Ovis aries: one gene and its partners. The protein of the gene in region 3 purifies or fractionates together with the protein of the main gene of each other region. This does not show direct contact. Links are inferred from orthologs where the notes say so. Each region holds a gene or a part of one and is shown on either strand. Other genes may lie near its edges. The genes, in order: SIRT1, WDR19, TULP3, IFT43, IFT140 and KBTBD7.

What was found.
Region 1: the proteins of TULP3 (region 3) and SIRT1 purify together in Homo sapiens (affinity purification with mass spectrometry; 5 studies listed by BioGRID and IntAct, counting the BioPlex papers as one, with this or other methods). This does not show direct contact. The link is inferred for Ovis aries from reciprocal best matches to the Homo sapiens genes TULP3 and SIRT1.
Region 2: the proteins of TULP3 (region 3) and WDR19 purify together in Homo sapiens (affinity purification with mass spectrometry; 5 studies listed by BioGRID and IntAct, counting the BioPlex papers as one, with this or other methods). This does not show direct contact. The link is inferred for Ovis aries from reciprocal best matches to the Homo sapiens genes TULP3 and WDR19.
Region 4: the proteins of TULP3 (region 3) and IFT43 purify together in Homo sapiens (affinity purification with mass spectrometry; 5 studies listed by BioGRID and IntAct, counting the BioPlex papers as one, with this or other methods). This does not show direct contact. The link is inferred for Ovis aries from reciprocal best matches to the Homo sapiens genes TULP3 and IFT43.
Region 5: the proteins of TULP3 (region 3) and IFT140 purify together in Homo sapiens (affinity purification with mass spectrometry; 5 studies listed by BioGRID and IntAct, counting the BioPlex papers as one, with this or other methods). This does not show direct contact. The link is inferred for Ovis aries from reciprocal best matches to the Homo sapiens genes TULP3 and IFT140.
Region 6: the proteins of TULP3 (region 3) and KBTBD7 purify together in Homo sapiens (affinity purification with mass spectrometry; 3 studies listed by BioGRID and IntAct, counting the BioPlex papers as one, with this or other methods). This does not show direct contact. The link is inferred for Ovis aries from reciprocal best matches to the Homo sapiens genes TULP3 and KBTBD7.

Annotation. Positions count from the first base shown.
Region 1 is NC_056078.1:23,633,183-23,637,391, forward strand, and holds the start of SIRT1 (NAD-dependent protein deacetylase sirtuin-1), read left to right. Parts: upstream 1-1,409; 5' UTR 1,410-1,475; coding exon 1,476-1,860; intron 1,861-3,149; coding exon 3,150-3,266; intron 3,267-4,209. UniProt on the Homo sapiens protein: NAD-dependent protein deacetylase that links transcriptional regulation directly to intracellular energetics and participates in the coordination of several separated cellular functions such as cell cycle, response to DNA damage, metabolism, apoptosis and autophagy.
Region 2 is NC_056059.1:59,081,808-59,085,748, forward strand, and holds the start of WDR19 (WD repeat-containing protein 19), read left to right. Parts: upstream 1-1,141; 5' UTR 1,142-1,178; coding exon 1,179-1,184; intron 1,185-3,941. UniProt on the Homo sapiens protein: As component of the IFT complex A (IFT-A), a complex required for retrograde ciliary transport and entry into cilia of G protein-coupled receptors (GPCRs), it is involved in cilia function and/or assembly.
Region 3 is NC_056056.1:212,688,177-212,691,582, reverse strand, and holds part of TULP3 (tubby-related protein 3), read left to right. Parts: intron 1-1,289; coding exon 1,290-1,402; intron 1,403-1,628; coding exon 1,629-1,743; intron 1,744-3,137; coding exon 3,138-3,236; intron 3,237-3,406. UniProt on the Homo sapiens protein: Negative regulator of the Shh signaling transduction pathway: recruited to primary cilia via association with the IFT complex A (IFT-A) and is required for recruitment of G protein-coupled receptor GPR161 to cilia, a promoter of PKA-dependent basal repression machinery in Shh signaling.
Region 4 is NC_056060.1:85,547,911-85,551,169, forward strand, and holds the end of IFT43 (intraflagellar transport protein 43 homolog), read left to right. Parts: intron 1-1,431; coding exon 1,432-1,504; intron 1,505-1,745; coding exon 1,746-1,821; intron 1,822-2,204; coding exon of another isoform or gene 2,205-2,305; coding exon 2,306-2,368; intron 2,369-2,497; coding exon 2,498-2,617; 3' UTR 2,618-2,759; downstream 2,760-3,259. UniProt on the Homo sapiens protein: As a component of IFT complex A (IFT-A), a complex required for retrograde ciliary transport and entry into cilia of G protein-coupled receptors (GPCRs), it is involved in ciliogenesis.
Region 5 is NC_056077.1:1,755,934-1,759,433, reverse strand, and holds part of IFT140 (intraflagellar transport protein 140 homolog), read left to right. Parts: intron 1-1,148; coding exon 1,149-1,370; intron 1,371-3,500. UniProt on the Homo sapiens protein: Component of the IFT complex A (IFT-A), a complex required for retrograde ciliary transport and entry into cilia of G protein-coupled receptors (GPCRs).
Region 6 is NC_056063.1:11,789,708-11,793,789, reverse strand, and holds the start of KBTBD7 (kelch repeat and BTB domain-containing protein 7), read left to right. Parts: upstream 1-1,282; 5' UTR 1,283-1,562; coding exon 1,563-3,605; 3' UTR 3,606-4,082. UniProt on the Homo sapiens protein: As part of the CUL3(KBTBD6/7) E3 ubiquitin ligase complex functions as a substrate adapter for the RAC1 guanine exchange factor (GEF) TIAM1, mediating its 'Lys-48' ubiquitination and proteasomal degradation.

The DNA of each region.
Region 1 (4,209 bases), on a different chromosome or scaffold from region 3:
AGATGGGACCTTCCAGTTACATTTTCAAAATTAGAACTGTTTTTTTAAAAGGATGAAACACCTTAAGTTGCGTTAAGTTCAAACAGTAATTGTCACTGTATAGACAGGACCCACTTAAAGCTTACGGACTGATAAACTATAAACTCACTACCCCTTAAGGGGGTAGAAGTGCTTTGTTTCAGAAACAGATGCCTACGAAGTTAGGCTCTGGGTCTGCCATGTATCATACGGGTTCTCAGTTAAGGCTAGATGTGGAGTGAGAGTCCTAAAATTTCAGGAAAAAACAGAAGAGGGACTTCAAGTAGGCAAGGAATTAATATTTTTGGCTACTATGTACACCCTTCACTTTACATCTGGCTATCTTTAATTCTCATCAAAACCCTACAAAATACTTATTAACCATTTTACAGAAAAGCTAAACTTCTCACGCTAGAAGGATCTCAAATTCTTACCCAAATCTACATGTTTGTAGCGGCCAAGTCATGTTCAGCCCAGTTATCTTCATACCACTCCACTTGAGCCGATATACTCATTTTATGAAACCTATACGAGGGAAATCACACATTTGGAGCCAAGCTGGGACCACGAAGCAGGTAGGCTGATCATCCCTCCGCCTCAAAGGTCTTTGCAGGACGCACACATGCCTTTGAGGGACAATCTACACCGCCCTACAAGGGATGGAGAGAGGAAGAAATAGCAATAATCTAAAGACAAAAGCAAAGAGAAAAAGGGAGCCAAAGAGAAGCTGTGCGAATGGGGTGTGGAGGTTGACAAGTGAACCGTGCTTTTGCCTCTATTTCTCTTGTAACTCAGCTGGTAAATAATCCGCCTGCAGTGCGGGAGACCTAGGTTCGACCCCTGGGTTGGGAAGATCACCTGGAGAAGGGAAAGACTACTCACTCCAGTATTCTGGCCTAGAGAATTCCATGGACCGTATAGTCCACGGGGTCACAGAGAGGTGGACAGGGCTGAGCGAACTTCACTTCACTTGTCCGTTAACAAACTGACCGATTACTTAGCACATTTCGGGAAGCTTAGCCTTAACGCCGCTCAGGAACTTAGTATTAACCCTTAGCATAAGTCAAGAAAAGACAAAGGCAGTCGAGCAAGGCGTGCTCTTCACGCAGAAGTGGAAACTCGCGGCGCAGAGCAAAACTTGAACCAACCCGCGGGCACTGATTTGAAGACTGAAAGACAAGTTTGGCTGCGAGACGCGCCGGCCTCCAAGGGGTGGGGCCGCAGCACCCAAGGCGGGGTTTCCTCCAGGCCCACGCCGCCTCCGCCTGCCACGTGACCCGCGGTGTTGTGGTCCGGCCCGCGTGGGTGGCGGGAGCGGCGGGAGGGCGGGGGCGAGGAGCGGCGCGTCACGTGACGGGGTTTAAATCTCCCGCAGCCGGAGCCGCGGGGGCGCCAGTGCCGCGAGTCGAGCGGGAGCAGAAGAGGCGAGGGAGGAGGGCCAGAGAGGCGGTTGAAAGATGGCGGACGAGGCGGCGCTCGCCCTTCAGCCCGGCGGCTCCCCCTCGGTAGTGGCGGCTGAGAGGGAGGCCCCGTCGCCGCCTGCTGGGGAGCCGCTCCGCAAGAGGCCGCGAAGAGACGGCCCCGGCCTCGGGCGGGGCCCGGGCGAGCCCGGCGGGACGGCCCCCGAGCGGGAACTGCCGGCGGCGGCCGGCGGCTGCCCGGCAGCGGCGGCGGCGCTGTGGCTGGAGGCCCAGGCGGCGGCGGCGGCGGCCGGAGAAGGAGACAATGGGCCGGGCTTACAGGGCCTATCCCGGGAGGCGCCACCGGCCGACGACTTCTACGACGACGACGACGAGGGCGAGGAGGAGGAAGAGGCGGCGGCGGCGGCTATTGGGTACCGAGGTGCGCAGGGCGCGGGCGGCCGGGACTGCGCATCCCCCCTCCTCCTCCCGGGGCCCCTCCTGTCGGGTGGTGGAGTCTCGGGCGGGTTGGGGGCTCGGGCCTGGCTCTGCGCCTTCCCCCTGCCGACCTGGGCCTTCAGCCGCGCGCCTGCGGGGCTGAGGGCTGGGCTGCGGGAGCGGCCCGCGGACTCGCTCCCTCCCTTGCTCTGTGCCACCCCCACCTTCCTCCCCGCGGCCCGCCCCAGCGGCCTCGCGTTTTGCGCAGCCGCGGGGCGGGCTACCCTCGCTGTCGGTTTTAAAATAAGTTTCTCTCCCCTCCTACTCCTTTAGTGTATTGCTTTTGTTAAATGCTGTTCGCTTCTCCGCCTCTCCCCGTCCCGCACACTTCAACCTGCAACTTTTTGACTGTCCCTTGCGCCAGCTTTTGCCATTGCCTGCGAAATTTGTTGGGGTTTTTAGGAGGGCCTCTATTTTCAAACTTGTTTTAAATTTTAAAGAGCATAGGTGTTTATAAAGACATTACCCTTCTGTGGTGCAATTAATAGTGGGCATAGGAGAGTAATAGTTTTTTAGACTACTTTGCCGTGAATAGTGTTTTTCCTCTAATCGTGTTCTTATAGTGGTTTTTACAGTAACTGTCTTCGTGTGTGTATATGTAACCCTGAAACACGAATTGACATTTTTCTGACATGCTAAAGTAGATGTGATAGTTGTGTGTCTCGTCATCCTTCAGTGTTTTCATAGTTTTTATCTAGATAGATATGCCTCTCCATTATTTGTACTAATAAATCCAACCAGTGGACCATTTGACTATATGTAAAGATAACGTGTGCATTAGGGACTGGATTAGAAAAACGACACTGTTTTCAAGAAACATAGTTTAATAAGGGAAACGAATAATGCAAAGGTACCTTTGTAGATTTTGCGTTATATAAGAGAGTGCAAGTTGCCATAGCTGTGTTTGCATGACTTTTTGGGTAACTTTTTATTTGGTAAGTTTTATGAACCACTATTTGTGATCGATAAATTCAGTCAAGGTTGCTACTTTTTGTGTTTTGATTAAGTAGACTTATTTCTAGATTTTGATGAAACTTAGCTTCTGAGCAGAATGCCTAAAGAGGATATACTGTTCCTGTGAACGGTGTGAGTTGATCCAGTAGACATTTTTTACGCGGGCAGTATGAGTGCTTTATTCATTGGAAATTGTTGCATCACAATAATTACAGAGCTTTATAATTTTAGATGCAGATTGTTTCCACAACCTTGAGTTACCTTTGGTTTCTTTTGCAGATGACCTTCTGTTTGGTGATGAAATCATCACCAACGGTTTCCATTCGTGCGAAAGTGACGAAGATGATAGAGCCTCGCATGCGAGTTCTAGTGACTGGACTCCAAGACCTCGGATAGGTATGGTTTCACAGGTTAAGAGCTATCTTTTCTCTGATATTTTCTTTTTATGTCGAGGAAAACTATATTTCTTTCTTCCCTTATTGTCTTGTGATGAGGTTCTTAGGCGTTTACTGAGATTTAATGTCAGCTTGGTTTTTAGGGGAAGTCTAGTACTTTGTTCTGTTTTTGTTTGTTAAACAGCATGGGCCCATGGAAGCTGGCCTGTGTAATTTCTCAAAAACCAGGTCCTCACACTTAAACGGTCCTTTCCACTTGTACCCTCCATATGGAATGGTCATCCTCCAAAGTATCTTGCTTCCTCCTTCATATCCTTCTATAATTTTTCTTCTTAACACTTACTGCTTGACAATTTCTGTGTATAACTTTTATTGCTGGTTTCCTGCATTAGAATATAGAGTCCCATGGGGGCCAGGGATTTCTGACTGATTTGTATACTGTTTAGTCGGTGCCTGGAAAAATTTGCCCTCAGTAAATACTAAGTATTTTGATGGAATGGGAAAGTATTTTGAAGTAGAGAATACTATGAGATTTTTATATCGAAGTAGTAACATGACCATCTCAAAATATTCTTTTTCTTAATGTGCTCTCATTTTTCCAGAAATGCCTTGACTATTTCAAGATCGTGATGATTAGTTTCTCTTAGTGTTTATATTGACTGTATTTTTGGTTTTCTTAAGCTAGGAACTGATTAAGAAATTTAGGGCAAAGAATTATTAAAGCTTAGAACATTAGCATTATATGCATCATTGCAAAGACAGGTTAAGATTAAATTGAAGATTATTACTGGGAACATTTTAAAGATAGTAGTTAAGGATAGATTTCATTTTCTTTGTGTTTTTAATGATAAATAGTGTGGGCTTTCAGGATGGGTAAGATCTTTATTGATTTGCAGAGCCCTTTTGTACATCTGTTGTATTTAAGTTATATTTTTTTAGGTTTT
Region 2 (3,941 bases), on a different chromosome or scaffold from region 3:
GAAGCCCCTGTGGTTAGGTTGTACGCACTGTGTGCCTAGGGCACATGTGCAGGAGTTAGAAAAGTCTCTGTGGTTATTTCTATAGCATCTGTGAATTTTCCTGAGTGTGTCTGGGAGGGGTTTTAGAGATCAGCTTGCATCCTTTTTGGCTAGGCCACTCCTTGTTGCACATGCCTAACTTGCTACCTAACAGTACTAACCACTCTAAAAAATGTGCTTTATTATTTGACCTAAATAACTGTGTCAAATACACATATATCATAATTATAAACACAAAGTAAAACTCGTATACACAGGGACAAAAACTAGAGAGAACTATAGCACCCTAATTAATACATTGATGTGAGACTTCATGTTTCTTTTCTCTTTTTAACTAATTTAATTCTCCCATATCGGCTAAACATAATACATACAAATTCGTAAGCTTTTCTCCTGTTAACTGGCCTTCTGTCAGTTTAATTCTCAGCCCCTAAAATTAAGTTTCTCCCTCTTAACATTCCCTAAATCTAATAAGTCCCATTCACTCTGTTTTAATTATTATCAATACAAAAACAATTTCCGAATTTCTACTTGTCTAACCTTTTTCTCCTTCACCCAATCACCTATTTAAGACATCTCCGATTAAATGTGTGGGTCTTGCAGCCAAATTTAAATATCTGAAGACACAAACATATTCCCAGCCAAAATCAGCCTCCAAATTGAATATCCTTTGAACAGCTGCAGTGTGAGCTCTTTGCGTGAACTGTGTAAGAGTACTGCCCCAGAAATCAACTCCCGCCTCTTCTTATACAACACTCAGCTCCTTGAAGTTCTCAGCGACTCTACTCGCCACCACTGATTTCTTTGTAGTCAGGGCCTAAGTTTACGCCGGCGGCTTCCACATCTCACAGAACTCTCCGGTGTCATCCAATCAGGGCCCAAGTAGAAAGCCAAAGCTCAGCAACGCCTCACGACGTTCAACTACTCAGGGCCTTGCTTCGCTGGCATCACGTGACTCAAGTCCCCGCCTCCCGCCCACTCCCTCCGTGGTTGTTTGGGGGCACCGCCCTTCAGCTGGCGCCCGCTGATTGGTTATTGCTCGCGCGGTCTCCTGGGTGACGGGAACGCGGTGGCTTTCTTGATGAAGACCGGGTGCGCTTGCGCACTTGTTAGATCGCGCGGCTGCTGGATCTTTTGAGATGAAGGTAAATAACTTACAAACCCGGGGGTGCGGGAAGATGCGACCACTGGCCAGTCCCTTAAACTCTCCGAGAGTCACTTTGAGGATAGAGGCTTGTGACCTTCCTTCCTTCTCCCGAGTGCTTGAGAAATGGGGAAGGGAGCGGGGTGACCCGGGAGAGCAGAGGCGAAGTTGAAGAAATAAGGGCAAAGGAAGGAAAATTGAAGAGACGGCGGGGAGGGAGGCCTCTCATTTCTGGGACCGCGGACGGAGTTGGTGCGTTTTGGCCACCCCTCCACTGCTGGAAATGAGCAGACTGGATCTGAAGAGACTCCGAATTCGCCCCAATTCACACGGCGGGCAGAACGAGTTTGGGGAAAAAAGCGTTTGGAGGATCCTTGTGAAGTTGGCTCGTTCGAGTGTCAGGAGCTGCCTCATTTCTTGCAGCTAAACACCTGGCAAGCCTCGCAGCTCTTCAGCTCCTTAAAATGAGTGAAAAGCTCCGAAAGAATCTCAAATTGTATTGGCTGTGACTGGCGCAATTTACAGATCATCTGCTGACGGTGTATATTATTCACGGGGAAATCTGCATGCACGGGTCTCAATCTCTAGAGCGTCATCCTTTGCATGCACCGTTTTTAGGATTGGGCTTCTTATGAACCCCATTCCCGGGTCACTGGCTACAGCTCATTCACCCATCGCCTTACCAAACAGCACCCCCGCCCCGCTCCTAGTGCCCCCTACTCCCCAACACCCCACCTCCCCACCGCCCCCCCCCCCACCACACACAGGCCCTGATCTGGCATAGAAATGGAAAGCTTAATTTTTTTCATTGTTTTGTACATTTTCGTGGCTATAGTGGAAATTGGAGTTGACCTGTAATCTTAATTCACATTTCTAAAGCTCTTCGCCATTTACGAAATACTTGTAGCTCAGTTGGTAAAGAAAATGCCTACAGTGCGGGATACCTGCATTCGATTCCTGGGTTGGGAAGATCCCGTGGAGAAGGAAATGGCAGCCCACTCCAGTATTCTTGCCTGGAGAATCCCATGGACTGTAGCCTGCCAGGATCCTCTGTCCATGGGGTCGCAAAAGTCCTACACGACTTAAGGACTAAACCATCAGTGTAAGGAGATATTGTTATTCCTGGTTTACAGTTGAGAATTCTGTGCCTGAGGCCATTTAATAGACCTGCTTTAAGCCCTACAGCTAATAAGTGAAAAGCAAAATCTGGAGTTCCCTGGTGATATTCCTTTCTTTCACTGTCAAGGGCCCAGGTTAGTTACCTGGTTAGGGAACTAGGATCCCACAAGCCATGTGGGTGGCCAAAAAACAATTGTATTAAAAAATAAAGATTGAAAAAAAAAAGATCGAAAGAAAAAAAAAAGCAAAGTCTAAGGGTTCGTTTTCTGGTTGTGAAGCTAGCACCCTTTTATGGGGTGTTGTATGTGTATAGAGCACCTGTTGACCTCCTTCGAAGAAAAATAGTATGTAAAATCACAACCAGAGGAGATCTACCAAGAAGCTAGTGACATTCAAATTTAGGGCACCCTCACTTGCATATAGGGGTTCCAGGGCAATGTGGTCATAAAATCGCAAAAGTAAAATGCTTTTATGCTTTTTTTTTTTAAAGGGTGTCCTTGCTCCACACAACTTGGATGCACCTGTGATTATAGGCACCTCTGTTTTCAGTAGAGGTGGATTTGATCATCTTTTTAACGTAGTAATTGCCGGTGATTGGTATAAAATTTAGACCATTGGAAGAGTTTTGTGTTACCATTGAGACTGTCACACCACCTGCAATTGTATCTAAACTTCACTTGCCTCAATATAGGCATCATTGTTTAATTTTTAATTTAACCTAATGTTAAAATGTAAATTCATTCATTCAAACTCTTATGGTCCTAGATGTTTTGTATCAACACTGTTTAATATAAATATAATGTAAGCCAATGTACTTTAAAATATTTAGTAGCCACATGACCTAGAGAGATGTTATGGGGAGGGAGGTGGGAGGGGGTTCATGTTTGGGAACGCATGTAAGAATTAAAGATTTTAAAATTAAAAAAAAAAAAAAGAAACAGGTAAGGTTACCTTTCATAATATATTTTGTTTTACCCAGTATATCCAAAACATTATCATTTCAACATGGACTCAGTATGAAAAATTATCAGTAAAGATAGTTTGCCTTCTTTCCTGTATTGTCTTTGTTTTTTTTAATATAAATTTATTAATTTTAATTGGAGGCTAATTGCTTTACAGTACTGTATTGGTTTTGCCATACATTGACATGAATCCACCACAGGGGTACACGTGTTCCCCATCCTGAACCCCCCTCCCCCCCCCTCCCTCCCCATACCATCCCTCTGGGTCATCCCAGTGCACCAACCCTGAGCATCCTGTATCATGCATAGAACCTGGACTGGTGATTCATTTCACATATGATAATATACATGTTTCAGTGCCATTCTCCCAAATCATCCCACCCTCGCCCTCTCTCACAGAGTCCAAAAGACTTCTGTGCATCTGTATCTCTTTTGCTGTCTCGCATGCAGGGTTATCATTACCATCTTTCTAAATTCCATATATATGTGTTAGTATAGTATATTGGTGTTTTTCTTTCTGGCTTACTTCACTCTGTATAATAGGCTCCAGTTTCATCCACCTCATTAGAACTGATTCAAATGTATTCTTTTTAATGGCTGAGTAATACTCCATTGTGTATATGTACCACAGCTTTCCTATCCATTCATCTGCTGATGGACATCTAGGTTGCTTCCAT
Region 3 (3,406 bases):
CTCGTGAAACTGCACGAAGCCTGTTTAAAATATCAGTGGAGTGGGACTTCCCTGGAGGTCCAGTGGCTAAGATTCTACTCTCCTAATGCTGGGGGCCTGGCTTTGGTCCCTGGTCGGGGAACTAGATCCCACATGGCGCAACTAAGACCTGGTGCAAGCAAATAAATAAAGTGTCAGTGGAGGTTTTAGGGGTGAAGTTACAGATGATGATGTGGAGGCTGAGGCTAGTGAATTTAGAAAAATTAGGCAGTTGGGAGACTCTGGTGGTGAATTCTAAGAGGCATAATCAGGATTAGAAAAAGTGGTAAGACCTAGAGATTGGTCTTCTCTGAGAAAACCCCAAACGGCAGATGTGCTGGTGCTGCGAAAGGGCTGGAGGCCCCAGGGCCCTGGGAGAGGAGACCACAGGGGCTTCCACCGTGGCACCTAGGGCCCAAGGCCATAGAGCACACAGCAGCAAGGTCAGGGACAGGGAGTGGGGGCCCCTCGCTCAGCTGGGTGCCTCATCCAGGCTCTGCGGAAGCCCCGTCTTGTGCCTGTCCATCTGGGAACCCGAGATGATTCACTTCTTCCTGGGAGTACCCTTCCAGGACTAGGTTTTGAATATGATGCATGAGTTTAACACGTGCCAGCCTGCACACCAGGGGCCAGGCGTCATCACCACTGGGGTTCCAGTGCATAGAGGCTGGTCTGGGTGTTTGGGGCTTCAGGGAGGTCACTGCTGCCATCCGTGAGGCCGTGGTTCTCGCCAGGTTCTCCAGTCCTTGTGTGGTGAGGCCGCTGGGAGTGGGATCAGCAGGCCCCACTCCATCCTGCAGGCTGACCGGCCCCTCGGCTCCTGGCTGGCGCCTCTCACCCCCGCCCTGGGACCCTAGCATAGCCTCTGCTCCTATGCCTGGAAGCTGCCAGCTGGCCAGCGTGAACAGCGCTGTGCTGTGGCTGGGCTGCACGCCGCCCCGGGCGCTGTGCTGAAATCATCTCTGATGTCGTCGCCAAGACTTGGGCCGCCTCACCCCAGGCTCTGAAGGGAGAGTGTCTGAGAATGCGCTGAGCACGACCCACACTGGAGTCTCAGTGCAGAGGACTCCAGCTGTAGCCACCATGTGGCTTTTCTACAAGAAAAGTTAAAGCAAATTAAACCGGTTTAAAAATAGAAAAGACCCAGAGGGGGACTGCTTGGTATAGGACAGGCAGCTGCTGGATATTTGTTCACTGAATAGGTAGGACACACATACACACCTGGCAGCTCTTGAGTGCATTTTTTACTGAAATGTTTTTTCCTTTTCTAGATATTTCTTCTTGCAGGTAGGAAGCGGAAAAAGAGCAAGACATCCAACTACCTCATCTCCACGGACCCCACAGACCTGTCCCGAGAAGGGGAGAGCTATATTGGCAAGCTCAGGTGGGGGCAGCCTCATGTCACGTCCTCTTCTTGTGGGGGCTTGATTCCTGTAGTCTCAAAGCAAGTCCACGCTGGTTTTACAGTGACCTGGTTTGATGCCATCTAAAGAAATAAGTTAATAGAAAGCCCAAGGCCTCTCCATGTTTTAAGGATGAATCTTTGAGAGAGTGACTCAAAATGAGAGAAAGTTACAGAGCTCTGTGGTGACCTTTCCTCTTGATTCTAGGTCCAACCTCATGGGGACTAAGTTCACCGTGTATGACCACGGTGTGAGCCCGGCCAAGGCCCAGGGCCTGGTGGAGAAGGCCTACATGCGTCAGGAGCTGGCCGCCGTGTGCTACGTGAGTGCCATCTTGCCGGCCTCCTGACCAGCCCCGGGCTCACAGGCTGCCACCCCTCCCGCCCCGCCATGCTTGTTTCCCTGTGTGCTCAGGTTTACTTGTGATCCGCCAAGTCCAGTGTATTTACTGTTCCGGCAGGCCCTGTCTCCTCTGCTCTTGTCCCTCCCCTGTGCCGTGGTGGTGTGAGTGCTCACTGCGTTCCCGCTGACACACTGGCTGGAGGTGACAGTGACTTGGGAGCTGGTCCCTCCTTCCATCGTCTCCAAGCTGGCTTGCTGTGGGTCGCTGCTGCCAAGCGGCCCTGCTCCAGCAGACGACGTCCTTCCGCTCCGCGGCCTCTCAGGCTGCTCCCCACCGAATCTAGAGTCCAGCCCGGACCTTCCGCCTCACCCTCTGGCCCCCCTGGCAGCACGCTCCCTGCCCCTCGAGCTGCCGCAGCCTTCCTCTCTGGCCGCCCCCTCCCTCCGCCCCAAACCTGCCCGCCCCCTCCTGCCTGCCCACCAGGGTCTGCAGAGGGGCCTCTCCCCACACAGGACATGCTTGACGCTCCCCTCGGCTCTCCTCGATTCCTCTCGCAGCCTGTGAGCTACCCTCGTCATGCTTCTGATCCTTCTCTGACCACTTTGTAAACTCCCGCTCACTGCTATTTCCGCACAAACCTGGACCCGCCGTGTAGAGGGCATGCAGAGTCAGAGAAGCGAGAAGGAATTAATGCGACTCAGTTGTTGCTTTGATCCTAGAGTCTCAGCTTTTCTTCAGTTGGAATTAATCTCATCACTTGATTCCCATGAGATTTTATCTGTGTGACTGAGAATCATTTGACTTAACCCTTTATAACCTATGGTATGTTTTCTCTTAGCTTCAGAATCAATTAAATATTTTAACTATGCATGACTTTAATATGCATGTATATATGTATGTAAATATATACACATCCACATATTTAATGTACTTATTCATGTATAATCTGCTTGGCTTGATAGGCATTTTAATTTTTTACTTCCAAGTATAGGCCTTAGTTAAACTGTAATTCTCCCTGTATATCATATAGTGCCATGTCCTTAGTTGGGAAATAGATATTTATTGATGATGATAAAACTGGGCAGTTTGCTCAAATTGTCTTAAATTTCACGTCAGGCTAAAGAAGAGTAAGGTTTCTAGATAATAGAATCTGCTTTAAATTCAAATGTTCAAAGTAGGTTAAAAAGAGGAAACAGTATTATTTTCCTGGTCTTGATTCCCCATCTCTTTGTTTAACTACAGTGAAGTAAGTGAATGGTTTTTAGTGCTCTCCACCTTGTGGACGTTGCGCGTGCCCAGCAGAGTCTTGTGTTAAGAATGTTGTCGCTTTTTCTTTTCTGTTTCTAGTTCCTGCTTATTTCCCTCTCTTCTAGGAGACAAATGTTCTTGGATTTAAAGGCCCGAGGAAAATGTCTGTGATCATCCCTGGGATGAATATGAATCATGAACGGATTCCTTTTCAGCCACGAAATGTAAGTAGAGTGTATTTGTTTTTAATGTCTTTATTTTTAATTGAAGGATAATCGCTTTATAATATTGCGTTGGTTTCTGCCATATATCAGCATGAATCAGCCGTAGGTATACATATTTAATCATCAGAGGACCCTAAAAATAAGACCGTGATGCAGACAAAGTCCGTAGA
Region 4 (3,259 bases), on a different chromosome or scaffold from region 3:
TGAAAGTGGGAAGGGTCCTTTCCAGCTGCTCTTGGAATGATTCTGTATCTCTTTAAAAAAAAAAAAAAAAAAGTTGATTTAGTCCATAGAAGCAAAAAGGAAGGGTGTCTTCACTATTCTCGCCTCTCTGGAATTTTTAATATTTGTAGTTGGTTTGGGACTTCCAGGACTGTCTCTCCTTGCTTCACCTTTTTTTTTTTCTCTGTCCCATCTCTCTTTATCTCTGTGCAGACTAGTTAAAACAAAGGCACCCCCTCTACCAGTCAGTGATGCTCCCTGAGAGAAGGCAGTCCCTCCTTAGGGTGCTCGAGAAGAGGGCTGGTTTCTCTGCTGTGAGCAAGTTGCCGCTGTTAAGTGACGTGCTGTCTCTCTGCTTCTTCCTTCGCGTGAGCGTGTTAGATTGACGAAAGGAATGGCCTCGTGTCTCCTCCTGTGTCTGTATGTCCGTCTCATACAGAGAATTCAGAAAAGAAGAATCTCCAGGAGACAGCAAGAGCAGCGTCATCTTTCGAGTCAGCACTGTTTAGGATATTAGACCTGGCCAATGGAGACGCGAGCTTCCCTCATAGCTCAGCTAGTGAAGAATCCACCTGCAATGCAGGAGACCCCAGTTTGATTCCTAGGTCAGGAAGATCCCCTGGAGAAGGAAACGGCTACCCACTCCAGTATTCTGGCCTGGAGAATTCCATGGACTGTATAGTCCATGGGGTTGCAAAGAGTCGGACACAACTGAGTGACCTTCACTTTCAGTGGAGCTGCTGGTCCTGTACGCTGCCGGGAAGCCAGGTCACATCATTAGGTGTAAAGTGACCTTGCAGATACAGACTCAGGGCTGTGATGGTTGTGAAGACTAGGACGATCTGATGCACGCATGGGCCTTGGTCGTGAGGAAGTGCGCTCATGAAGACGTCTGCCTGGTGACAGGGCGTGTTCCCCGTTCCTCTGTCTCTGACCACGCCAGGCTCACTCAGCTCCTCTTTTCCTTCCTCTCCTCTAAGTGCTTCCCCCCAGGGCTGTCTAGGACTTTCTTCTCATTTCCTTACATTTCTCCTTGGAGAGCTTCTCCCATGGCTCCTAACATAGACCAAATGTCAAGACCACCCAAGAAATCTTATGGGAAAATTCAGCCTCCCAGGCCCCACCCAGGAAACTTTAATTCCTGCAGGTTCTGGGGTAGTAAAGCCTGAGATTCGGAAATTGTTGAAGTTCCACCTTCGATTCTCATGCACACCTCAAGTTCAGTTCCATCACCCTGAATCGGGGGGGGGGGGGAGGCGGTGCTGGAGGCTGGAGACCATCTGAGTGTCCGTTCTACCCAAAGCCTGTAGCCCTTACGGTGGCCAGGGCGTTGGAGCTGCTAAGTCGTCAGTGGGGAAGTAGGCTAGACCCCCACTCACGCTGCTGATAGTCTGGCCTACCCTCTGGTTGCAGATATCCCTGTTATTCCGGACCTGGAGGAGGTACAGGAGGAAGACTTCGTCTTGCAGGTGGCAGCCCCTCCCAGGTGTGTTATATTCGCCTGAAGTTGGAGGGAGGTTGGGGAACGTGCCAGGCGCCATCAGCAGTGATGCTGCCCCCTTGGGGAGATCCACACGTCTCTAGTGTGGGCCCCATCCCAGGGTTCCCATTTTATTGCACATTTTTTCCCCATTCTGGTCCTTCCCAGCTACCCAGGAGGCTCTGGGCATGGCGGCCTGGCAGCATGGCTGGCGTCGGTTCCTGCCCACATTCTGTCTTTCCCACAGCATCCAGGTCAACCGAGTGATGACCTACCGTGACCTGGACAATGACCTCATGAAGTACTCAGCCTTTCAGACCTTGGTGAGTGGACGGACAGCTGCTACACAGAGGGGCAGGCGCCCACCGACATCTGCAGAAATTTCTCAGTTTCTCCCAGGCCTTGCAGCCCCTCCTCCGTGAGGCTCTGAGGCTGCCAGGCGACAAGCCCTTTGCCAGAGACATCCTCCTCGGGTATTAGAGCTTCCCTGGACCCAGCCTATCCCAGTGTTCTCAGGGCCAGTCTCCCCCGTGCCCCCGCCTGCCCTCTTGGCATCGGTAGACGTGCTGCATCATGCCTGCCCCTCCCAGGTGTTCACTTTGCCCCAAGGAGTGCCCAGCCCGTAGGACATCGTGGTGCCCACCCCAGCTCTCAGTGGCCATGTGGTCCACCCACAAGTTTGCTGTTTCACAAGGTGTTCCTGCAGGCCTGGGGTTGGAAAGTTCTACCCCACTCAACTTGGTCCCCAGAGGTCATTGTCCAAAGGCCCCACAGTACACGTACCCCCTCCTGCCCCGACATTCACAGGATGGAGAGATTGACCTGAAGCTCCTCACCAAAGTCCTGGCGCCAGAGCATGAGGTTCGAGAGGTACGTGGCAGCGGCAGGTCCTGCCCCTCGGCCGTGAGCAGCGGGCCCCGAGGCTGACCTTGGTGGGAGGCTGGCTGTGCCCGAGGGGAGGGCCTCCCCCGTCTCACCCCAGGATGCCTCTCTCGGCAGGACGATGTCAGCTGGGACTGGGACCATCTGTACACAGAGGTGTCCTCCGAGCTCCTCAACGAATGGGACGCACTGCAGACAGACAAGGAAGGCCCCGTGGGGCGGCCCGCACACACCTGAGCCGTGGAGTTGCTTTCCCTGCACGCACACACCTCCGCTCTGGACTTGAAGAAAAGGCCATAAACCTAAAGAAGCTCTCAAGAGGCTCGGGATTTTTATATATGGACTATTTTGTAATAAAAATATTTTCTCTTGTAAGAAATTGCATCGTTCTGTGGCAAGAAATTGCTTTTGCTCTGTAACCCTCTCTTCCATTCGTTTGCACCGCCCTCTGGAAAAATGCATCAGGGGTGAAGAAAGGCATCTTTTGAGCCAGTGATGGGAACTCGCCCCATCGCTGAAGAGCAGGAGGGAAAGCTAGATGAGGAAGGGGAAGGCTCTGCACTCTGTTCACAGAGGCCACGGCAGCTCCAGGGAGCATCTCCTGCTGGGGGCCTGGGGAGGGCCTGGCTGGACGCCTTTCTCCCTTTGGATGGTCAGTGACATTGGTGACATTTCACTGTCTCCTTTGTGCTTTCAGGGCCACTTAGCTGAGGGATTGTCGCCTGGCAGCCTCAGAACATGTGATAAGGTGACCCCATTGCCCATGTCAGGGTTCGGTGGCTCTTCTGATAGCATGCCCCTCCCTCCTACTTCCTGCAACCCAGGCCTGGAGCTCCCAAAGCACGTGTTTCCCTTCTGTCCCCCCAGGTTCCCAGGGCC
Region 5 (3,500 bases), on a different chromosome or scaffold from region 3:
CCCTGGTTTCATAGGAGGTCATGTCACAAGAACCAGGGGTTTAGGAATCAGCTTATCTTTAGGGGCCACACAGCTCCATAACAGGAACTTTCTAGAAAATCCTACTTCACCAAGGAAAATGGATTTCCTTTCCCACCCCCTGCCCCACCCTCCCCCGAAATCTGCCTCTCGTGCTTTGGGTCCGCACCCTCCCATCCCCTCCCCTCACGTAGCACCCTCCTGTGATGTCCTCCGGAGAGCACACCCAAGGGGCTTCCTCACTCAGCTCCCTGCGTCCAGCCTCCCCCGTGCCCGACTGGCCTCCTCTCCCTCCATCTCCTCCTCCTCCTGAGGCTACGTTACCATCTCTTGGGGGACAACTCAGGCCTGCGGTCCAGCCTGCCAGTTCCACTGGACCGCCAAGGAATTCCCTAGATAAAACTTCAAAATTTAGAAAATTTAAAGCACACTATTACAAAACAAACAAGCGTGCTTCGTGTGTTTCTAATTGGTAGAAGGAAAACTGTAGGATTTCAAAATTATGATTTATTCGATGATAAGAAGGTCACAGATGTAGCAGGTATAACTGGAGATTGGTAGGAAGAGCCCAGTAGAAGTGCTGAGAACAGAGTTAATCTCTGAAAACACACACATTTATACTTTTAACCTGCTGCCTTTGAAAATTCTAGAAAACATGAGAATATAAGAGCACATATCTTATTAACTCTTATGGCAATGACATCGTCATATACCACAAAGTTTCCGGAAAACTCCACTGTTCACTTGTGAGAGAATGAGAGTTAACAAGGCAAACCACATCCTAGTATCATTCTGAAAATGACTTTGGCTTTGCAGACCTCAATAAGGTTCTTAGGGTCACCTAGCCACACTTTGAGAACCTTGAGTCAGCACGCTTCACCCACTGGCCCAGCACTTGCTTTTGTAAATAAAGTTTTATTGATAAGCTGGTTTGTGGGGTCTGTTAAATGTTTGCCTTGTGCTGTCATAGTTCAGCTGAGGCAAGATGGGTGTTTCTATGACAATTAAATAGACTGTTTCTTTAATAAGCAGCTTGTTATGTCCTCTACCTGATATCATTCCACTGATGAGGCAGAAATACTTGGTCGTCACCGTTCCCCGTAATAAGGGCTTTACTTTGTGTGTCGCAGGGCGAGTGCGTGCCAGACACCCATGTCGAGAGGTCGTTCCGGGTCACCTCCCTGAGCTGGCACCCGACGCGGCTGATCCTGGCTATTGGCTGGGAGTCTGGGGAAGTGGTCATGTTTAACAAGCAGGACAAGGAGCAGCACGCAGTCCCTGCCACGCACACGGCCGACGTCGCCATCCTCGCCTGGAGCCCCAACGGGAACTGCCTGGTGTCGGGAGACAGGGTGAGCAGCCGCGCGGCGGCCCCCTCGGGGTCGCAGGCTCGCCGTCTGTGCTCTCAGGGACACGGGAGGCCCTCAGGGACCAGGCTATTCGTGATGCATGGTTGCCGGGCTCTGCTGAGCTTGTCAGCTGTCACAAGCTGTGTTTTATGTTGGGAGCAAGATTTGAAAGTTTCATTCTGCCTTCTCACCCTGTGGCAGAAGTGTGCAATTTTGTAAATGAACATCTCTGGATAACTACAGTCACACAGATGGGGTGGTGCCTCAGGTACCCCGAACCCCGGTGTGCCCTCTGAGCACACTGCTTCGTTGCCCAAGAGTCCCTGGTCCCCATCGTCTGGCCTGGGGCCTCCTAAGCAGGTGGACGTGGAGAGATCGTTCGTAGTCATAAGGGAGGGGGTGCTTTCCGCTGGCATCTGGTGGGTGGAGGCCAGAGTCACTGCTCAGCATCTGCCAGCGCTCAGGACAGACCCCACCGCAGAGAATCACCAGCCAGAGACGTCTGTAGGGCCCGGGCTGAGAGGCCTGCTCTAGACCTGTTTGCCCCAAAAGGGACAGTAGAAAGTGTACGGTGTGTTTGTTTCTTTCGCATTTTCAAGGTAATACGTTTGCATGTTTCAGAGCTCAAAAGATGCTAAAAGGCACACACTGCAAACACTCTCCTCACCACCCCCACCCTGCCCCCGGTACCTGCGGCTCCTTCATGTCTCTCTGGGTTCCTACGGGAACACACAGGAGCACGCAGTGCGTTCTCTCCCCAGCTTCCAGTTTTGAAAAATCACCAACGTTAGAGGAAGGAGCACAAGGAGTACCCTTGTGCCCTCACTGTGAGTTCAATAGCTGTTAACATTTTGACACATCGGCTCTCTGGGCGTCTGTACACCCCCGCGTGTTGGGGAGTTTGTCGCAGCCGTCACACTTCACCCCTCGATGCGCTGGCTTCCGTCTCCTCGACACGTGACCACGTTGCTGCCGCACAGGAGGGCGAGGCCCGCACGCTCCCCACCGCGGCCGGTGTGGCGGCTCTCCCTGCCGTCCTGGTAGCCCGTCCTCAGCCGGGGCCGCCCAGCGTGCTCTGCCTCTGCCATCATTCCTCTTTTGTCTCCTTCCGCCGTAACTGGTCTCTGCTCTCTTCTTTCGTCTCTCTCTCTTTTGTTTGGTCTTTCCTGACATCGCCGTTTTGAGGGGTCCAGCTCGTAACTGTGTAGCAAGGCCCTTGGTTCAGATCTGTGTGGCTGTCTCCTGAGCACTGTGAGTGTCTTCACACAGGGGACACCGTCCCCTCCCTGCTTTCCTGGATCCTTGTCACGTGAGCGGCAGCACCCGGCACACACTGTTGCATCTCAGGCTTTCCAGCGGAAGCCGTGCCTTCCACTCTCCACGGCAGCGCACAGCAAGCCTCCTCACGCTCTTTAGACCTGCCCTTTTTGCCACGAACCTGTTATCGTTTGCCTTCGCAGCCCCTGTGGAATAGCAGTCTTCAGTTCTTCGCTGGACGGTGACATGACAGCTGGCCTCATGGTCTTGTCCTTTTGCACGTGCGAACTTTTAGAAAAAGTCCTGGAGGGCGGTGGGACCCAGGGCGTACCCTTGTGGTTTGATCGGTGTGCCCAGAGCTCCCTCCGTGGGGCTTGACTGGCTCACACCAACCCACGCGTGTGTCGTGACCAAGCTCAGGATCTTGTGGGAGAAGTGCTGCCTCAGTTGTGTTCCTTCGCGTGTGTTTCTCTTCCTCCTGAGGGTGAACGTTACCTAGAAAGCCATTTATACTTAATTTCTGCTCACACCACTTCTTCCTTGTTCTACTTGTTCTTTTTTTCCAGACGTTTCTTGGTTTTCTGTTCAATTCACACCTGGTGCCGTTGCACCACCCCAGGCTCCTTCTCCTGTGGGCTCCTACCCCTTCCCCCATGGGGATAAAAGGAGTCATGATCCTTGAACATCACCATTCGCATCTTGAAGAAAGGAGAAACAACTGATGTAGCGGATCACTTAAGCACGACCCGGAGCCCAGGTCACTGCTGACCGAGTTCTGGCGTCAGAGGATTTCAGGACAAAAACACCTGGTCCTTCTCTCAGAAAATCTGCAATTGTGTCCCAGTTTAATACTGGACTCCAACAGGAAGAGACGTA
Region 6 (4,082 bases), on a different chromosome or scaffold from region 3:
ATCTTTTAGGTTCAAAATCAAACAGTCTAGATATAGAAAAATTGAAGCAACAAATCACATCTACCTTCAGCAGCATTCCCCCTGTGTTATAGAACACTGACTTCTATAATGCACTATCCACTAGTACCTCCTTTCTAAATCCAAAAAATTGGGTACCCCATACGATGGCTACTTATGCGCTGATCTGTTTATTGTTTGTTATTGTTCTTGTAGGATTCCGAACGTTATGTGCCCGAGTCACCTCCGTCCAAAAAACAGGAGTAACTGTGGCTGCAGCAGTCCTTGCTCTTAAGGAAAAAGGGAGGAGATAAGGAGGAGCTGGAAGGCTTTGAGCAGACATGGAAAATGTATTTGCTCCACTTATGACGAAGGTTGGGAGCTGGAACGAGCATAACGGAGGGTTATGAGCGTGCATCGAGTGCCTGAGGCTGGAAACGGATGACGAAGGGTCAGTACGCCCGGCCTTGAAGCGTTCAAAGGCTTCCTTATGACCACCTGTTTCCTGGGAGCAAGGACTGTTGTTTCACGATAAGACTCCCTTTAGAGTTTTGCCAAAGTCACGTTATGTCTTAGGTGGTGGGAACTGTATTTTATGCTTGAATGCTTTAATGTTTATCTGGAATGGCTACGTGCAAGTCTGCCTTATGCTCTATTCCCTGAGAATTATAAAACTGCGCAGCTGGATAATCAACTTTGTCAGTCCACTAGAGGCTGTCCCTGAATGTTCCTTTCAGAGCGCGGTTCTCCGAGCCTTACAAGAAGCAACAGTAAACACAGTTTTCTTTGTAGAAATTGCTCATGGTTTCGAATAAGTGGATGCCTCATTTTTCATAAATTCTAAATGAAAAGCCAACAGTTACTCAATATTTGCATTTTAGTCACAGTGTAAACAATTATTAATCTAATCAACAAGTATTTATTGAAGCATCCTATGTCCTATGAAATTTAGATCATTCCATTCTCCCAGAATCCTATGAAATACTATTATGCCCAATTTCCAGACAGGGAAAAGTTCTGACAAAAAATTTACACAACTGGTGAATATTAAAACGGGACTTCCACTCTAGACTTCAAACCCACAGCTCTAAACCATCAAATCTGGAATAAACGCTTGCTGATTCTGTTAGTTAAAGCAGTAGACCCCCAGAAGCCTCGCGATATTACTGGAACTACTGATCCCAACATGCACAGCGGCTCCTGTGAGGCGGCCTAAGCCGCAGAGTCCGCGGGGTCCCGGCATGCCTCGAGGCGCGAAAGGCAACCTGGGAGCTGTAGTTCTCCTAGGCACCTACCGGTATTGCCAGCGCGGCGGTGGCGGACCGCTTGGTTCCAGTTTGTAGGTCCTGTGAGGGCGAGCTGAGGCGGAGAAAGGGCGTGGAACTGGAACCGGGTGAGTCAGGCACTGTCTACGCGATAAAGGGAGGCGGCACCGCGGAGCGGGGCTGACTTAAGTCAGCGCGGCAGTCTTTTCAGGGACACAGCGGTCTCGGCGTCAGCGAAAAGAGAGCGAGGAGGCGCCAGAGCCCGGTTCTCGTCCTTCTCTCCCCGCCGCCCTCTTCACCATGCAGTCCCGGGAAGAAGCTCCGCGCTCTCGCCGCCTCGCCAGTCCCCGCGGCGGGAGGCGTCCCAAGAGGATTTCCAAGCCCTCAGTTTCGGCTTTTTTCACGGGCCCGGAGGAGCTGAAGGACACGGGCCATTCTGCAGCCCTGCTGGCCCAGCTCAAGTCTTTCTACGACGCGCGGCTGCTCTGTGATGTGACCATCGAGGTGGTCACCCCCGGCAGCGGGCCTGGCACGGGCCGCCTTTTTTCCTGCAACCGTAACGTGCTGGCGGCCGCGTGTCCCTACTTCAAGAGCATGTTCACCGGCGGCATGTACGAGAGCCATCAGACGAACGTGACCATGCACGACGTGGACGCCGAGTCCTTCGAGGTGCTGGTCGATTACTGCTACACCGGTCGCGTGTCATTAAGTGAGGCCAACGTGCAGCGCCTTTACGCGGCCTCCGACATGCTGCAGCTGGAGTACGTGCGGGAAGCCTGTGCCTCCTTCCTAGCCCGCCGCCTTGACCTGGCCAACTGCACGGCCATCCTCAAGTTCGCCGACGCCTTCGACCATCACAAGCTGCGATCACAGGCCCAGTCCTTTATAGCCCACAACTTCAAGCAGCTCAGCCGAATGGGTTCGATTCGGGAAGAGTCGCTGGCAGATCTGACCCTGGCCCAGCTGCTAGCTGTCCTGCGCCTGGACAGTCTAGACATCGAGAGTGAGCGGACCGTGTGTCACGTGGCGGTGCAGTGGTTGGAGGCGGCTCCCAAGGAGCGGGGTCCCAGCGCTGCAGAAGTCTTCAAGTGTGTCCGCTGGACCCACTTCACTGACGAAGATCGGGGCTACGTGGAAGAGCTGCTGACCAAGCCCATTGTAAAGAAGTACTGTCTGGACCTTGTTGAAGGGGCCCTGCAGATGCGATATGGTGACATGTTGTGCAAGTCCCTGGTGCCCAAGCCAGAGAGCAGCAGCAGTAGCTCTGTTGTGTCCATAGCAGAAAATCCACCCCAGAGGCTGGGTATGTGTGCCAAGGAGATGGTCATCTTCTTTGGCCATCCCAGAGATCCCTTTCTGTGCTATGATCCATACTCGGGGGACATTTACACAATGCCATCACCTTTGACCAGTTTGGCTCACACTAAGACTGTCACCTCTTCAGCTGTCTGTGTCTCTCCAGACCATGACATCTATCTAGCTGCCCAGCCCAGGAAGGATCTCTGGGTGTATAAACCAGCCCAGAATAGTTGGCAGCAACTTGCCGACCGCCTGCTCTGCCGGGAGGGCATGGACGTGGCATACCTCAATGGCTACATCTACATCCTGGGTGGGCGTGACCCCATTACTGGAGTGAAGTTAAAGGAAGTGGAGTGCTACAGTGTTCAGAGGAACCAGTGGGCCTTAGTGGCTCCTGTACCACATTCCTTCTATTCCTTTGAACTCATAGTGGTTCAGAACTATCTTTATGCTGTGAATAGTAAGCGCATGCTCTGCTATGATCCTAGCCATAATATGTGGCTGAACTGTGCTTCTCTTAAACGGAGTGACTTTCAGGAAGCCTGTGTCTTCAATGATGAGATCTACTGCATCTGTGACATCCCAGTCATGAAGGTGTATAACCCAGCCCGGGGAGAATGGAGGCGTATTAGCAATATTCCCCTGGACTCGGAGACCCACAACTACCAGATTGTCAATCATGGCCAAAAGTTGCTCCTCATCACTTCTACAACCCCTCAGTGGAAAAAAAACCGGGTAACTGTGTATGAATATGATACAAGGGAAGACCAGTGGATTAATATAGGGACCATGTTAGGTCTTCTGCAGTTTGACTCTGGCTTTATTTGTCTCTGTGCTCGGGTTTATCCTTCCTGCCTTGAACCTGGTCAGAGTTTCATCACTGAGGAAGATGATGCACGGAGTGAGTCTAGTACTGAATGGGACTTAGATGGGTTCAGTGAACTGGACTCTGAGTCAGGAAGTTCAAGTTCTTTTTCTGATGATGAAGTCTGGGTACAGGTAGCCCCTCAGCGAAATGCACAGGATCAGCAGGGTTCTTTGTAAATATTTTGAAATACTAAGATGTTTCTATTGCTATGAATATATCTTAAAAAGATGTCCTTTCCTTTTTCTGGGGAAAAAAGAAAACTTTGATTAGGATTGCATATTTGGTTTAGAAAGGGTAATGTTTGAGTTGCTAATGTAATGTTATAAAATGTAAACAGTCCATGAAATCAGCTATATAATTTACTGTGCTGAAAGTTGAGATTAAAATATGCCTCCCCCCCCCCAAAAAATGAACCATGTAATTGATTAGAATGCTTGCTGGTTTTTTTTCTGTGTTCAAGAATTTGTTGCACTAGTGAATTGTTTTCATTAATTACACGGTTTATATTTTGATTATCTAATTTAGTCTTCTGTTCATTTTTAAATTCTGTTTAGTGTTGTGGGGGGGAAGTTAGCTTTTTCATTTTTGTGTAGAAAATTGGACTAGAAATTGTTGGCAGGGTTTTGAAGATTTCTATCTTCTGAATAATGAAA